Linked DNA regions of Danio rerio. The protein of the gene in region 1 interacts with the protein of each later gene in a biochemical or structural test. Links are inferred from orthologs where the notes say so. Each region holds a gene or a part of one and is shown on either strand. Other genes may lie near its edges.

Region 1 (9,124 bases):
TGTTTCTTCTGTTCACCGCAATGCAGACGTGGAAAATTCGGTAATGGTTTAGTAATAGATCATAACCGGTTATTACGTATTTATCTCATATGCGCTTACTGCGATTGTGGTTGTTTACTATGGCGAGGGAGGCGAGTAATTAAAATGCTCCAACTACTTAAAAACACAGAAATGGCACAATTCACTGTGTGTGTGTTTGCTGGACAGTCTTTCACTGTGACTGAAGTTACAGCAGAAGCTCCTATTTCACTGCGATTGAGAAAATAAAAGTAAACGTAGGCCCAATCCCAATTCTACCCCTTAGCCCTTCCCCCTACTCCTCGTTTTGCGTATGCCCTCGAAGGGGTAGGGGTGTCCCAATTCTCTTTAGCTTGAAGGCGTAGGGCTAAGAGCAAGGGGTATAAACCCCTTCAAACAAAGATTTTTTAGGACCACACTAGAAACCAAGAGGTAAGAATCATTTCCCAGAATACCCCAGCAACAGCTGCACCCGGAAGTAAGGAGATCCACAAATTTGTATTTTTTTTTGTCATTATTACGAATTTTTACAACAAACAAACACGTCTTAATATATTCTTAACCGCGTTCATGTTTTACCGTCATGCTTAAAAAAAAAAAAGGGCTAAAATAAAAACTGCTAAATTTTGTGATTTTTTTTGCGATCTATAATTCCTAATAATAACTTCAGTACAGCAGACCCACAACACTCTGACACTCGATGACACTGGAATACCCTGTCAGAAAAGTCTAATGGCTGGGAATGGGCTTTTTACAGTGTCTGCTATAATGTTCATGCTGTTTTTGGTGTGTTTACATTGATGAACATGGCCACTGTGTAAATGCACAGTATTACGATCTCATTGCCACATTAGATCATTATGATAACATAATATATGCCTTCAGTGATTTCCTGAAGATAAATACCAATAAATAACACAACTGGAATCACTCCAGCAGTCGCCATCATCTGATCTCATATGAAGCAAGAGATCGCGAGGACATGATGATGTGTGCAGGTGCTGTCCTAATTCTTAGGGGTAAATTTTAAAGCCCTTCCCCTTAACCCTCACTTGTAAGGACCAGGGGAAAGGGGTACAAAAATAGAATTGGGATTGGGCCTTAATTTCTCTCCCTCAATGTTGCCATTTCACCTGGTGGCAAGACATTTCCTCTCCTCTTGGCAGTTACAGCGCTTCAGACACGAGTGTGTCTGCAGAAGAGTTTTATCCTCTGCATCAGTCATGGATCAGCTGTAAATCGCTGATGCCGTTATCAACGTCACTCAACGGTGAACAGCACCAGAGCATTAGAGCCAATCGCAGCCCTTTCTGTTGAGTGCGTGACCAATCATAGGGGTTTAAGAACTTACTCGACAGGGCTCATAAAGTGAGCAGGATATTTACATTTGTTCATTTGCTATAAATGCTCATGTTGTTCTGTGCATGTACTCGAGTTTTTAAAAGGACAGTTCTGACTTTGTATTGAAGGACAAAACTGTATTACAAATAGTATAGAAATATAAATATATTTATACATTTTTTAGAAAAGAATTCTTGTGCTGTTAAGTAAAATATCAAATTTTGTATGGAAAGCATCGTCAATGAACAGTGATATGGAATTTAACCGAACCGATGGCATGATAATCGTAACCGAACCATGAAACCAGTGTAGGTTCACACATATACCGCTGTACTGGCATGTCAGCGGCGAGCAAGAGGTGGGGCGGCAGAGTAAAATGACAGCATTGAAGTGCACCAGACAAAACACAAAGTGTGTGCAAATACTGCAAAAAGAGGTTTACTTACACTAACAGAACATGAATATGATGCACATAAACCATCAGCACAGAGAAAACTACAGTCACAGACGTCTATACTCAAAAACACTAATAATAAGTCACACCAAGCAGACTGGATGATTTGAAGCTCCACTTGCTCCGCCTCCGAAGAGTGCTACGGAGCTCAGACAGTGCATCAGTGTTTTCGTAACGAAAGTGTGAAGATATTTTTCCGACTGAAAGAGAAAGTTGTTCTGTTATAGAAGCAGGTATTAGACTATGTTTACCATCCTTTTCAAATTAGTTTATGCATATTGAAAAATTAGCATCTAAATTTGCTATCCTGATATACAATTTGTAATTTTCTAATCAGTATTGTCTGTCAGTAGCCAGTCCCCTGGATCAGACGGCCTACTGACCCCCTCTGTACACCCTGCTCTCTGGTTTAGCAAAGGCTTTCCTCTCCACACCAGCCATCTCAGTGAAACAGTTTTTCTCATCAGCAGGACACATTGTAAATATGCAAAGGCCTCAGCTTATGCCAGAAAGCAAAGATTTGCTGATATTTCTTTCTTTTTTAAAAATGCAAAACGCCAGCACAGTCACAGTTTTAGCTTGTTTCTATTAACGAGTCTTCTTTAGTTTCTATTATCTTTGTATTTTATTTTTTAATTTAAAATTAAATTACAATTAATTTAAATTTTAAAAAATTATTATTTTGCAAACGATGTGCTGCATTTAAATAAGGAATGAAAGAGCTCTTTACCTTAAATTTGTTTCGAATAGTTTTGTTTAAAAATCATGAATAAATTGTGTATTGTGAATAAACTCTTGAGTCAGGTGAATCATTACATCCCTACATAGTATTCGTTTTTCCTACAATGGAAGTCAATGGTTACAGATTTCCAACATCTTTCAAAATATCTTCTTCAACAGAAGAACTGAACACAAAGGTTTGGAAACGCTTGAGGGAGAGTAAAGAGTGAGGAAATTTTCATTTTTGGATGAACAATCCCTTTAAACTAGGGTGGCAATTCTTTTATTTGTTTTTTTTATTATTGTATATGTAATGTAATAAAAACATCCAAACCACATACAATGCAGCACTTTAAATACAATGTAATAAGAGATGAATCGTGTTTTGAAGTTATGAATTAGATTTTTTATATGTGAATGAATTCTTTTTTATAAATATATTACTTTTGAGACTGATCTGGCTCCATAAAATGGAAACCCTTTCAATAAAAATGTGGATATTTAGTGATTCTTCAGACTGACCTGTGCGATCTCCACCTCTCCCACTTTAAAGACGTCCTCAGCCTGCACCGCCGACAACAGCTGAGATACAGTACAGGGAACGATCTGCTGCGCTCGTGTCCTCTGAACACACACACACACACACACATCACTGTTACACTTTACAGCATCACACATGAAGATCACAATACTACACTGATTTCCCACTGTTTTCATAATCACTTAAACAACACGATAATGACTCAAATAAGTACTGTTAAAATAACAATACTACTCTCTCTACGGTCATTCTAACAGCTACACAAAAGATGTATTAGGCCAAAATAGTGAAAGTCGTATTATTTTTACACAAACAGAATTGTCCCCAAACATATCAATACTGCATTAAAGTTATAAGTTTGTTTGCCTAAATTTAAACAGCGACTTGAAAATTATTGAAATATACTGAAAAAACCTTCTATAAAAGATATGATTTATATACCTTATTAAATATTATTCAGTATTTACACAAGCAAAAACAGACCTAAACATTGAGATGAAAGACAAAGACAATTTTGGCAATGAAAATTAAATACTTCATAAAAGAATTTCTAAATCTTTTATATTTTATTTATTTTTTAAATAACAGAAAATAGCTTAAATGTTTAGCTTAATAGCTTAAACTCAACGTTTAGGCTTGTATTGTATTAAAAAGTGCATTAAATGATAATAAAAAATAGTTTGAGCAAATCTATTGTCTGTTTTAACTTTTTTTACGATGTGTCGCTTTTATTTTAAGCAAAGAAATATAATAATAAACAAAAATAACAACTAATAAATATTTTATTTCAATTTACTTCAAGTTACATAAGATGGCCACTAAATTTAGTTTAGTCTCAAACTCTAAATTTTATACCTGTCATTTGAAATCTTAATATTTATTAACTGTTCTGCAAAACATTTCACTTTACCCATTTGTTAACAAAAAGTTAAATTATAACCAAATTTAGTTTATTAAATTACTCTTTTAACTATATAATCAGGAAGTACATAACAGGTATTTGCTTTTGTTTAATTACACAAAAACTTGTTGAGCTTAATACCAAACAATTTTTTCACACATTTTTTAACATTTCGTTGTCACAAAAATAGTCTGAAACATTGAAGTGAACATTTAACTTGTATTTTTTACTTTTTTTGTCATTTCAAAATGCAGTTTAGAAAGTGCACGATATAGGGATAAGTTAAAAGTGCTATTATAGAAAACTATGGGTAATATTTACAAATATATGTAGTTTAAACAAAATATACTCAAGTCGTATTAACTGCAATTAAATATTTAAACAGAATTAAATATGGTATTGGAGGAATTTAATATGAACCCCACACAATTGAGGTAAGGTGGGTTTAATATTCGCACATTCTCCTTAAAGATAAAACGTCACAAAGTATTTATGCAAATTTTAAATGCTAAAATCATATTATCAGCTAGTGACTATCAAAGTACAGCATTGTTTACAGTCAAATAAATGGTGTTAATGTTGTTTTGAAGTCATGTTTACAAGTGATTTCAGACCAAATATTTAAAGTACCATGGTAAACAATATGAGGAGCATGTCACAAGTTGTCACTGAACGAATGTGCGAATATAAAACCAACTTTACCTCAATATATATATATATATATATATATATATATATATATATATATATATAGGTGTTTAAAGTTATTTATATACTGACCCCCTTTTTGTCTCCTCCTTGAGAAGCGGCTGGTGACCCGAATCCTCCAGGAGACTGTGTGTACCCAGCCATACTGGCCTCTCCGTATTTACCTGCAAAAATATGAATACCATATTTCAATCAAAACGACTTATTGGTTAAAAACCCCGTCCGACTGGCAGTAACGTAAGAGTGCGTTAAAAACAGACCTTGACAACACACCGCTAACCGACATCACACTGACACTGTATAACAGAGCTTTCTGACTCTCATTAGCGGACTAGCAGAGTAAACTCAGCTCTAAAGCCAAAATAAAGTGATTTCTAAAGCACGTACCTTGGTTCCACATTTCACTCGTGAATGTTTTTCTTCTGAATGCGAAGCAGACCGACAAGACACTCGAAAATCTCCCGCCACGACTGATCGCGCACAGTTTGACGTCACGTCTCGAAGTCCGCGCGCTCACAGTACGCGTGCGCGTGTGTCATCTGCCGCGAAAGTCCCACACGTATACTGTAAAAGTCCACAGAAGCTTGTATGTTGTTAAAATTGTTTTTAAATAAAAATAAAGCATAAAAAAATAAATAAAAACAACAAAAAATCTGTAATCTTTCTTCACTGAAATTTACATTAAAACGTTTACGCTCGTTCTCATATGTTTTGGAATAGTTAAAGCATGTAAGCGGGCTAAGCCCAGTCATATATTGTTTATATATTAAAATAAAATAATTATAATAACTGTCCAAATATGTTTGAAAACAGCGTTTTTTAAAATGTTTTTAAAAGTAACGTTAACACTGAACAGATGCAAACTGAATTCTGAAGACTCTTAATATGAAATGACGGTGTCGCAGACAGTTTGTCGTCACGTTGTTTTGTGTGTCGCGTGGGATTTATGAGTAGAATCGATGAATCCATAGCTTCTGTAAAGAAATACCAATGGAAGAGACTGCGAACACAGATGTCCTCTTTATTGAGCTCAGACAGAAGCTGCAAAGCGGCCTTTTGTTCATTCGGTAAAGTTTTTCTCTTCTACTTTGGCTCTCTCATAGTCACTGACTGTCAATGCAGTGTTTCATCAGTGTATGTGAGTGAATTATGTCATGTACAGTTACACTTAGCACCCAGGGATTCAACGGGATTTCTTTTAACGTACTAGGGTAACGTTACAGCTTATTTTGAGTTTATTTACTGGAATAAAAGGTTATACAATTTCAGGAGGCAGACTTTGGGAACACTAAGTTAGAGAGTACTAAAATATAGTCGTTTAAATGTTTATAGCTAGGTTTTAAAATTATTTATATAGTATACTGAATTATATATATTATACTATTGCATACTGTTTTATTTTTTACACTAGCTCTATAAGATAAAACAGTTAGAAATGCCACAATGAAACACTAGATGGCAGTATTGACCAGATAGTTGGACAGCTTATTTAACGCCATGATATTTTCTTTATGAAAAATAACTTTATGACTAACGTTGCTGTTAACTTTAGACCTCTTAAAATCGAAGAAATTGATTTCTAACACATTTCATCCTAAGTCTCTTCATGCACTGTACAATATGCAGGGTTCCACATAATTCCATAGAGGTAAAGCTGGTTTAAATTGAGATATTCAGACATTCTCCTTAATAATATAATTTCAGAAAAGTATTCTTTGCAAATTCTAAATAGGGAAATCATATTAGCACTTTAGCAGCAAATGATTATGAAAGTACAACATTGTTCACAGTGAATTAGACAGTGTTAATATTGTTTAGAAGTCAAACTTGCATGCTAATTCCGATCGAATATTCAAAGTAACATGGTAAACAATATAGAGACTGCTAAATGAACAAATGTGCGAATATAAACTTTGGGAACCACTGAGTTAGACAATCTAATTATAACTTGAGGAGACAAATGCCTCAGCGTTTAATTTATTTTCTTTACAAAAATATATTTTTTTCTAAGTGACTGACTACAACTTCATTTTTAGTTTTTAAGCCTCACGAAATTTGAAAAAATGGTTCTCTAAAAGATTTTTTTAGTTTCTTACACATTTCATGCAACGTCTTGACTGTAAAAATGGATTTACTCAGCTGTCTAATGTAAAGTATTGTTTTTTTAGAGTGCTCTGATGTGATTTGTGTCTTGTAGCTGTGAAATAACTCATCATTTAGATTGGAGATATGGAACTGTAATTTGCTTAAAATATTTATAGTCATTTTTTAATTTGTTTTATTTAATATTAACCTTACCCAATGAGGCTGGTGGGCACAATGTTTATTCTATGTTTAGTCTATTCTTAGTTTAGGTTTGGAGACCACCAATCACAGATCATCCTCCATGATAAAATATGGTAATTCTAATAGTTTAATAAAAGTTATTTGACTTTTTAAAATCACCAAGCGACCCCCATGTTATTGTCTCGTGACCCCCACTTTGGGAAGCACTGAGTTAGACAATGTAATAATAACTTGTTGAGACAAATGTCGCAGCGTTTACTTTATTTCAGCAACAGACAGCTTATTTAATGCTGTTATATTTACTTTTAGAAAAATGTAGTTTTTCCAAGTAACTGGCTACAACTCCACTTTTAGTTTTTAAGCCTCTTAAAATTCAGAGAAATGGTTATCTAACAGGTTTTTGTAGTTTCTCACACATTTCATCCAAAGTTTTGACTGTAAAAAATGGATTTACTCAGCTGTCTAATGTAAAGTTTTGTTTTTTTAGAGTGCTCTGATGTGATTTGTGTGTTGTAGCTGTGAAATAACTCATCATTTAGATTCGGCGTAGAGATATGGAACTGTAATTTGCTTAAAAACCTGCCGGAACTACTTCAGCTGTGCTTTTATCTGAAAATAACTGCCTGCTCATCAGCCAATCAGAATCAAGAATTCGGCAGCCCCATAATATAATGGTATATTAAGTTAATTCATTAATTTTCTTGTCGGCTTAGTCCCTTTATTAATCCGGGGTCGCCACAGCGGAATAAACCGCCAACTTATCCAGCAAGTTTTTACGCAGCGGATGCCCTTCCAGCCGCAACCCATCTCTGGGAAAGTATATTAAGTTGAATAATCCAATGTTATGTTAAATAAACTCACTTAATTGTTTCTTGAGAGAGTCTACCCTAACTTTTAACTCATTAAGATTTTACTTAATCTAGACTACACTCAAAAACATTGCTGCTTGTTCAAGTTCAATCATTCGTTCATTTATTTTCCTTCGGCTTAGTCACTATTCATCAGGCGTTACCACAGTGGAATGAACCGCCAACTTATCCAGTATATGTTTTACACAGAGGATGCCCTTCCAGCTGCAACCCCAGTACTGGGAAACATTCATACACGCATACAGTATGGCCAATTTAGTTTATTCAATTCACTTATAGCGCATGTGTTTGGACTGTGGGGAAAACTGGAGTACCTGAAGGAAACCCACACCAACACGTGGCGCAGTGGGTAGCACTATCGCCTCACAGCAAGAAGGTCATTGGTTCGAGCCTCGGCTGGGTCAGTTGGCGTTTCTGTGTGGAGTTTGCATGTTCTGTTTGTTTGGGTTTCCTCCGGGTGCTCTGGTTTCCCTCACAAAACATGTGCTGATGGTGAAGAGTACGTGTGTATGTGTGTTTCCCTGTGATGGGTTGCAACTGGAAGGGCATCCACTGCGTAAAACATATGCTGGATAAGTCGGCGGTTCATTCCGCTGTGATGACCCCTGATTACTAAAGAAACTAAGCCAAAAGAAAAATAAACGAATGAATGAATGAATTCCTTCATGTTGTCCCAACACATCGATTGTGTGGAAGCCAGCATTATTTACAGTGTAGTTGTACGTATGATTAGGGCTTCACTTCACGTTTGACCTCCTCAGCAGTGACGTCATCGGTGATGGTGCAGATGTGAAGATCGAATCCAAACCAGACTCCATCCTGAACATCCAGACTCCTGACAGCAGCTTTCAGGTGACCCTCACACCTGGAGTCAGTCTGGTGGAGGCGCAGAAGCAGAAAAGCCCAGCAAACTCTGAACAAGGCTCCCATTACAGACTGCGTCTAAAAGTGGAGCAGCCAACAGGTACACGCTAAGATCTTTCACATCAATACAGGTCCCATGAAATAAAAAGATATGTTTTTAGATGTTAGCATCAGTATTGTTAGTGTTTAGCATATCTATAAGCTAGTGCGCACTAAAACAGTGACAACATTTGCATTTAGAAGATATAAAACTGATAAAAGCATGTAAAGCTGTGTTTCTCAACCATGTTCCTAGAGGACCACCAACACTGCATGTTTTGGGTGTCTCCTTTGTCACACCCATTACAGGTCTTTCAGTCTCTGCTGTTGAGCTGATGATCTGAATCAGGTGTGTTTGGTTAAGGAGACATGGAAAATGTGCA
Region 2 (8,453 bases), on another chromosome or scaffold:
AATACAGTTATTACGCTTCAGGACGGGGTTTGGGGTCCGTTCTTCGTACCTCGCTAAAATGATCTAAGATTATTTGGCAGATGCTGGATCTTTTAATCTTGATCTCTCGCTAATTTGGTTCTTCAAACAAGTTCGCGAATCAGATTAGAATGTCTGGATAAACTGATCTGAGATCGCTGCATGTGTTGTGAAGGACAGATCTATCGATCCTAGAAATCATGATCAGCAGTGCAACGATTGGCTGACGGCACAGCAGCGTAATGACATCATCTGATTAATATTCAATTATTCATGTGAGCAAAATTACATCAAATTAGCAGCAAACCGTTTATTAAATATGACACGCAATAACCTTCCACATATGTTGTGAGCTGCAGGCTTTATACTGTCATGTGTCAAGAGTATTCATCATGTATTTCAATGCATATCAGTGTATTTAGTTCTACATTTAGACAATATTGTCTATATTATTGTAGCCGTTTTTTAATCGGTGTAAAGAATAACTGGTTGTTTACAAAAGCATTTTCATATTGGTAAAGGCGTCTGCAACTATTGTGAAGCATCAAATCACCGGCATATTAACAATCAAAACATGTTTATGACTGCATAAATGTATTATTGCTTTAAAAAAAATCACATATTCTGCATTTCTATCACACAATTTGTACTAAAGCGATCTAAAAAGTTCATATCAATAAGTTTTCTCTTTGCACCACCAGGTGGCAGTATTTGTACTTTCATTTCGAGGGTGCAGATTGCATACGTTTTATTAATATGTATAACTTTATTTATTTTATTAATGACTATAACTTTATATATAGTTAAAAAATATGTACCATTTCCCAAGTGTCTATAACTACTACTGTAAGAAAATATCAGAATTCAGAACATACTTTCTGTATTATCTTTGCTTGAACTAAGCCGATCTAATCCTGTTTATATGAATTGAACCTGCTCCCGACCAGGTTTGACCTAGCAGAACTGTTGCCATGACAACAACTCTCTGATCAGCTTTGAAGAACGAAACGATCCTGGATCATGTCAAATCGTCAATATCCAAATCCAGCTAACTGAGTAATCCACGTACGAAGAACGGACCCCTGGTCACAGATTTGGTACGGTTCGTAAATAAAAACAAAAACTTTACAATACAAAATGAACACAATATAGCAAAGATAAAACTGAAATACACTGTGCTTTTAGGGTTTGTCATGCACCTAACAGCAGTTTTCAGGCTTTTAAATCTACTGAATACACATTTAAAGCTCTTTAACATTCATTATTAATCGGCTACTGAGTGTCTGATGTTGTTTGCGCTGAATCACAGTTCTGATGTTCATTCTCGAAGCGTCTGCTAGCTATTTGATTATCTAGATCTGAGGTGAACGATCTGCTGCTGCTGTCAGTACGGCGCTGAATGACACGTCACGTGTGTTTAAACTCAGATTGGCAGCATTTAACATTGAATAAAGCACATAATCAGTGCCTGAGGTGATCATGGTGTAAGTCCAGACTCGGTCCTGGAGGGCCGGTGTCCTGCAAAGTTTAGTTCCAACCCCAATCGGACACAGCTGGCCTAGCTAATCAAGCTCTTACTAGGCAGTGAAACATCCTTGCAGGTGTGTTGAAGCAAGTTGGAGCTAAAATCTGCAGGACACCGGCCCTCGGGGACTGAGTTTGGACCCCCCTGGTCTTAGTTTATGCTGCTGTATATAGAACTAGAAACCAAAATAGAGACAAATTCTTATATCATCTTAAATGGTTAGCATAGGAACTATTTTTAAACAGAACAGACAGCTTTAGTCTCTTGTTTCAGCACTGCGTCTTGCGTGTGCTACCTGGCATCAGTGTGGCCTGTGGAGACGGCTGAGACGCCAGCAGACACCCGAGTGGCTCACAGTGAGCCAGAACTCGACTGCCGCCCGTCTGAGACACCAGAACCGCCTTGGAGAAAACATAATGCCCAGAATCCTGCCTCTGAGATGAGGACAGAGACGCCGCCTGAGACGAGCCCGCTGACGCCTGCGCTTTCCACCGACGCAGCTCCTGAAATACACAGACAGACACACACACACACATCTGAGAACTGGAAAAGCTGATGATGATGATGATGATGATGGACTAAACAGAGAGGTGTATATAAGCCAACCTCCCATGATAATACACTCACTTTAATATCTATTCAATTCATACGAGTAGATCTGATCTTCTCTGCTAAACAGCACTTGGGAAATATTTAAGACAGAATTCAAATATCCCAGCAGGGCTGCTGATTTCATCTTCCGCTGTAATGAACGTGTTGACGCACCTCGACTTCTTTGCGCAGCCGCGTGTTTTCATCCACCATGAGCTGCAGCTGCTGCCGACACTGAGCCACCTCCAGCTGCTCCATCCTGCGAGAGCCCTGCTCCAGCTCCAGACGACTGCACACAACCAGCAACATAAACATCATCAGCTCTGCCTCCAGCCAACTATACTGATGCGTTCCATCACAGCTAGTCACAAATAAACCCCCATCATCGTCATCTTGATGGTCTTCAGTGAGCGTGAACGCACCTCTTGAGCCGCACCTCCTCTGTGTTGTCCAGCGCCTTCAGCCTGCGCGCGTACAGGAAGATGATCTGAGTTTTCTTGGCTGGTTTATTACACTGAAAACACACAACAACACCACTAATATAACCCAGGATCCTCTGTCAGTGTCAGGGCATCTACAGAGAGCCACCAGTTCAGTTTCAGCCGTTGTGATACCTTATTTAATACAAGCGTATATGAAATACAGGACCATGCAATGAAAATGCACATGCATACACAGTGTTCAGCATAACTGAGCCGAGCGCTCACAGAACTCGCACTTTCATTCATTTTCTTGTCGGCTTAGTCCCTTTTAGAGGTCTGCATTCCCCCGGGCGCCGCAGGACCCGACCAGATTTCTGCGGCGCAGGAATAAATTTCTGAATAAATCGCGGGAGCGGTCGGTAACGGGTTTAATTTGGGACGGGAGCGGGCTATTAGGATAATGTAGGATATAAGGATATAGTAGGATATAGCTATGCGAATGAGAGAGAGAGAGAGCTTTGCCTGTGTGTGTGCTTGGTGCTGTGTGAGTGTGTTAGTGCACGAGAGAGAGAGAGAGAGAGAGAGAGAGAGAGAGAGAGAGAGCTTTGTCTGTGTGTGTGTGCTTGGTGCTGTGTGTGTGTTAGTTCGCGCAAGTATGAGAGAGAGAGCTTTGTCTGTGTGTGTGTGTTAGTGTGCGCGCGTATGAGAGAGAGAGAGAGTTTTGTCTGTGTGTGTGCTTGGTGCTGTGTGTGTGTGTGTGTGTGTGTGTGTGTGTGTGTGTGTGTGTGTGTGTTAGTGCGTGCGCGTGCGTATGAGAGAGAGTTTTGTCTCTGTGTGTGTGTGTGTGTTAGTGCGCGCAAGTAAGAGAGAGAGAGCTTTGTCTGTGTGTGTTAGTGCGCGCAAGTATGAGAGAGTTTTGTCTGTGTGTCTGTGCTTGGTGCTGTGTGTGTGTTAGTTCGCGCAAGTATGAGAGAGAGAGCTGTCTGTGTGTGTGTGTTAGTGTGCGCGCGTATGAGAGAGAGAGAGTTTTGTCTGTGTGTGTGCTTGGTGCTGTGTGTGTGTTAGTGTGCGCGCGCGTATGAGAGAGAGAGTTTTGTCTGTGTGTGTGTGTTAGTGTGCGCGCGTATGAGAGAGAGAGAGTTTTGTCTGTGTGTGTGCTTGGTGCTGTGTGTGTGTGTGTGTGTGTGTGTGTGTGTGTGTGTGTGTGTTAGTGCGCGCGCGCGTGCGTGCGTATGAGAGAGAGTTTTGTCTCTGTGTGTGTGTGTGTTAGTGCGCGCAAGTAAGAGAGAGAGAGCTTTGTCTGTGTGTGTTAGTGCGCGCAAGTATGAGAGAGTTTTGTCTGTGTGTCTGTGCTTGGTGCTGTGTGTGTGTTAGTGTGCGCGCGCGTATGAGAGAGAGAGTTTTGTCTGTGTGTGTGTGTGCTTGGTGCTGTGTGTGTGTTAGTGCGCGCGTATGAGAGAGAGAGTTTTGTCTGTGTGTGTGTGCTTGGTGCTGTGTGTGTGTGTGTGCTTGGTGCTGTGTGTGTTAGTGCGCGCGTATGAGAGAGAGAGTTTTGTCTGTGTGTGTGTGCTTGGTGCTGTGTGTGTGTGTTAGTGCGCGCGTATGAGAGAGAGAGCTTTGTCTGTGTGTGTGTGTGTGCGCTTGGTGCTGTGTGTGTGTTAGTGTGTGCACGCGCGTATGAGAGAGAGAGTTTTGTCTGTGTGTGTGTGCTTGGTGCTGTGTATGTGTTAGTGTGCGTGCGCGTATGAGAGAGAGAGCTTTGTCTGTGTGTGTGTGTGTGCTTGGTGCTGTGTGTGTGTTAGTGTGTGCGCGCGCGTATGAGAGAGAGAGTTTTGTCTGTGTGTGTGTGTGTCTGTGTGTGTGTGTGTTTATACAGACAGCTTGGCTGTCTGGACTGTATAGTTGGGTGATTTTCGGTTTTGTTCTCCCCCGCTCTTTAGCAGGATCGGGCGCGGCGTGCAGAAACCGGGGCGGGTCGGGCAGCGGGACAACAAATTCTTAATATAAGCGGGATATATTCTTAATATATTTAGTCGGGTTCGGGCTAAAACCTGGCGGATGCGGGCGGGATTCAAAATTTAGTCCCGCGCAGATATCTAGTGCTTTTATTAATCTGGGGTCGCCACAGCGGAATGAACTGCCAACTTATCCAGCAAGTTTTTACGCAGCGGATGCCCTTCTAGCCGCAACCCATCTCTGGGAAACATCCACACACACACTCATACACTACTGACAATTTAGCCTACCCAATTCACCTGTACCGCATGTGTTTGGACTGTGGGGGAAACCGTAGCACCCGGAGGAAACCCACACGAAGGCAGGGAGAACATGCAAACTCCACACAGAAACACCAACTGAGCCGAGGTTCGAACCAGTGACCTTCTTGCTTCTTGCTGCACTACCTACTGCACCACTGCCTCACCAGAACTCGGACTTGATATAAAACTCATTTGTTTACATGGAGCGCTCTCGTTTATACTGAGCACTGTATACATGAATACACATGACCGTCTATCCATCCATCTGTCCGTCTAGCTGTTCAACAATACGGATATTTTCAACTGCCCAGTCAGATCTCTGCCAAGATATTCTAACACTAACAATCTCCCTGATGGTCATTAGAGTCAGCCATGATGGTGTTTCTTCATGATGCAGCAGGAGATGGAGGCTCACCTGTGGGCATTTGTTCCCTCCGCCCGTGAGCCAGCGGGAGATGCAGACGTAACCGAACAGGTGCCCGCAGCGCAGAGCGGCCAGGCGGTGCTCACCTGCTGTGGTCCAGGGTTCAAAACAGATGGAGCAGGACTCGCCTTCAGTGTCTGCTTCATCTGCTGCACCTGCGGGAGACGCTGCGGCCGAGCCGGAGGAGTCTGAGGATGCCTGAGACCAGGAGAAACACAACATACACACTTTACTGCGCAGACAACACACACTCTACACTGTTCACTGTGCAGAGAGCATGCGTTTCAGACAGACTCCACACTCTGCTCACCTCCACCTCTGTTTTCAGCTCTACTGCGGGAGCTTCAGCCGCTGCAGGAACACTGGGACCTGCTCACACACAACACGAACACAAACAGCTCGACAATATTACAAACACTTCTGATTTATTATGCTTTAATACAAAGTCTAGATTAGACTACTAGCTTATACTTAAAACAGAGTCAATTATTCATGAATTCATATTTATACAAGTCAGTTATTTATATATTTCTATGATCGATTATGTTAATGACATCATTTAATCAACTGTTACCTGACAGATTTCAGTCAACCAATAGTTATAGTTCATTTAAAACAGCCATGGAGACACAGCAGAGGAGATGTGCTGCTTAAATGAGGCGTGCTAATAAGAGCATTCTCAGACCTGCAGGGCTGCTGGTCTCCGCTGTGGACTGGACGCGGCTCTGGTCGGCGCTGTCGCTGGAGGCTGGCTCAGGATCAGTGCGTGTGTCCGGCGGGTTGTGCGTGTCCGGCGGGTTGTGTGTGTTCTGGAGGAGCGTCTGAATCCTCCGCACTCGCTCCGCATGAGGACGCTGACTGACAACACACACACACACACACACACACACACACAAAATGACAATCATTCCTCAATGAAAACACAACCAGAGCTATTTGTTCACTTCACACTTAAAATTGATCATGTAAAATGGTACTTAAAGGAGTTTTAAAAAGCCTTAGTGATGTCTCCAGAGTGTGTGTGTGTGTGTGTGTTTGAGCTGAGAATAGCACACAGATCATGTTCTCCAGCTCTCTGAAACTGACCATTTCAGGCTTTGATCCTAATTGTGGCATTTTGGTGACTGTCGCCTTAAATGCAAATGAGATTTAGAAGTGGGCGGAGCTACAAGTGCCTGTGTGACTATTGAGATTCAGAAGTGGGCGGAGCTACAGGCACCTATGGGACTAATGAGATTCAGAAGAGGGCGGAGCTACAGAGGCCTGTGGTACTAGCGGTGTTGTCAGTGCTGTGCATGTGTGTTGATGATCTGTCAGTCTATGTCGCTCCTGTCTCTGTGCATCTAGAACTGCACATCTATAATCCTCTGAGTCTATGCTGACGTTATCTTCAGCAGCTCAAACACTCTAATGGCTAATGGACAGACGGCTGCTTCTCACTCAGGGCTGCTGGATATGCTAATGAGATGGGGAGACGGGCTCTAGTGTTCAGTGCTGTGGTACCTGATGATCTGTCTCCTCCTGGGGGCTCGCCGCAGCGGCAGTCTGGACCGGTCCTCCGGCACGGACGCGGCGACATCGTTTTCTTCTTCTTCAGTGCTGCTGCCAGATTCAGAGACCATGACCACCTCCATATCCTCCATCCTCAGAGAAACCAGCACTGCGGTACAGACACCAACAACAATACTGCAATCATTCAATGCATGACATCACTACTTTACATGTCAATCAAACGCAAACCAGCCAATCAGCTCACCATGGACAAAATCAAGCCCCGCCCACTTTACCACAGGCAATGCTTGTGATGTCCCAAATAAAGTGGGTCTCAGATTGTACAAGAAGCACTGCGTTACATTTTCCCTGTCGTTTTTTTATAATATGAACATTTATTTCACCACAGTATATTCAATGGAGATTCTGCGCTAACCTGCTGATTCTGACGGGTACGTCCGAGTAAACGGTATTTTGTCTCGTTTTACGCTTGAGCAACTGAAGTCTGTTTAACTGATTGTATTTTAATTACATTACAACATCAATGCTGTAAACGAAACCATATCAAATAGAAAATAGTGTCAATAACCATCAGTGAGAGAAGAAACACCAACTCTGCATACACCCTAAAGCCATATATGCAGCTGTATGAAGAGGGAATTATGAGCAGGGCTGGACGTCACTTCCACCAGCAAATGTGCGCTTCATGCTGAATACGAGAGTGAAAGCATGCTGAAATATCACAGAGAGCTGTTTATCCGTCCGGGAAATTGAGCGAAGTTACCATCTGATCATTCCTTCATCTTTTAACCTTATAATATGTTGTATAAAGCCTGTTGTTGTGTTCATATCTGCACTGAAACCTTGACAGAAAGATCAACATAGATCTGCTTCATGATCTGACTGCAGGCCCGGTGTTGTGAAGAGAAATGAACGCCTGTGGTAAATGCACACGCCACCTTCATTCTCAGTCTACATTTAAAAATAATCAAAGGCCAAAACTGATTAAAACGTCGGCTAATATGATTATTATTTTGATGGATCAAGCTATTTTAAAACTAGGTTTACAAATAAATGAAAAGCTCAAATATTGACTGCAGTATAGACTGCTGTAATGAGGCCGTTACTAAAATTAGGCCTTTTGGTGACTTTTAAATGAACTGAAAACAAAATTGGTGCAGTTTTCAACTAAACCACATCTTAAACACATCACTTTAATTAATCTGACCAGTGTTGTCTTTAAAATGAATATATTTATTTATTTAAATATACATCTTCTGTAAGGGAAGGGTTCCTTCATGAAACTCACCTCAGTCATTAGTTGTCATAACTATTATTAATTTTTAAAATCAATTTAAGTTAATATATGCACATTTCAGAGGGGGTGCATTTCTTGGCACAACACTGGTTCGTCTGTCATTCCTCTATAATGTAGGCCTATAGTGCATACTTCTAGCTAAAGGTTTTTTTAATAAATTGATTATTTCAATAGATAGTTTGTTACAAAACTTGACAACTGAAATGAGGATATGTATGAGAAAGTCGGACCTCTCTGATTTATATTTTGTGATGATGTCTGTGGGTTAAAGTGTGCATTTTTGCTTATATATATATATATATATATATATATATATATATATATATATATATATACATATATATATATACATATATATACACATATATATATATATATATATATACATATATATATATATACATAT

What was found.
Region 2: the proteins of rpa2 (region 1) and rfwd3 form a complex in vitro, tested with the Homo sapiens proteins (3 studies listed by BioGRID, with this or other methods). The link is inferred for Danio rerio from reciprocal best matches to the Homo sapiens genes RPA2 and RFWD3.

The regions. Positions count from the first base shown.
Region 1 is NC_133191.1:4,968,916-4,978,039, forward strand, and holds the start of rpa2 (replication protein A 32 kDa subunit), read right to left. Parts: upstream 5,218-9,124; 5' UTR 5,084-5,217; coding exon 5,071-5,083; intron 4,848-5,070; coding exon 4,756-4,847; intron 3,158-4,755; coding exon 3,056-3,157; intron 1-3,055. Other genes in the region: ube3d (E3 ubiquitin-protein ligase E3D), read left to right, coding at 5,674-5,750, 8,600-8,802. UniProt on the Homo sapiens protein: As part of the heterotrimeric replication protein A complex (RPA/RP-A), binds and stabilizes single-stranded DNA intermediates that form during DNA replication or upon DNA stress.
Region 2 is NC_133200.1:39,977,340-39,985,792, forward strand, and holds part of rfwd3 (E3 ubiquitin-protein ligase RFWD3), read right to left. Parts: intron 8,246-8,453; 5' UTR 7,563-8,245; intron 7,156-7,562; 5' UTR 6,882-7,155; coding exon 6,742-6,881; intron 6,097-6,741; coding exon 5,924-6,096; intron 5,608-5,923; coding exon 5,549-5,607; intron 5,437-5,548; coding exon 5,230-5,436; intron 2,649-5,229; coding exon 2,557-2,648; intron 2,424-2,556; coding exon 2,309-2,423; intron 2,047-2,308; coding exon 1,839-2,046; intron 1-1,838. UniProt on the Homo sapiens protein: E3 ubiquitin-protein ligase required for the repair of DNA interstrand cross-links (ICL) in response to DNA damage. Plays a key role in RPA-mediated DNA damage signaling and repair.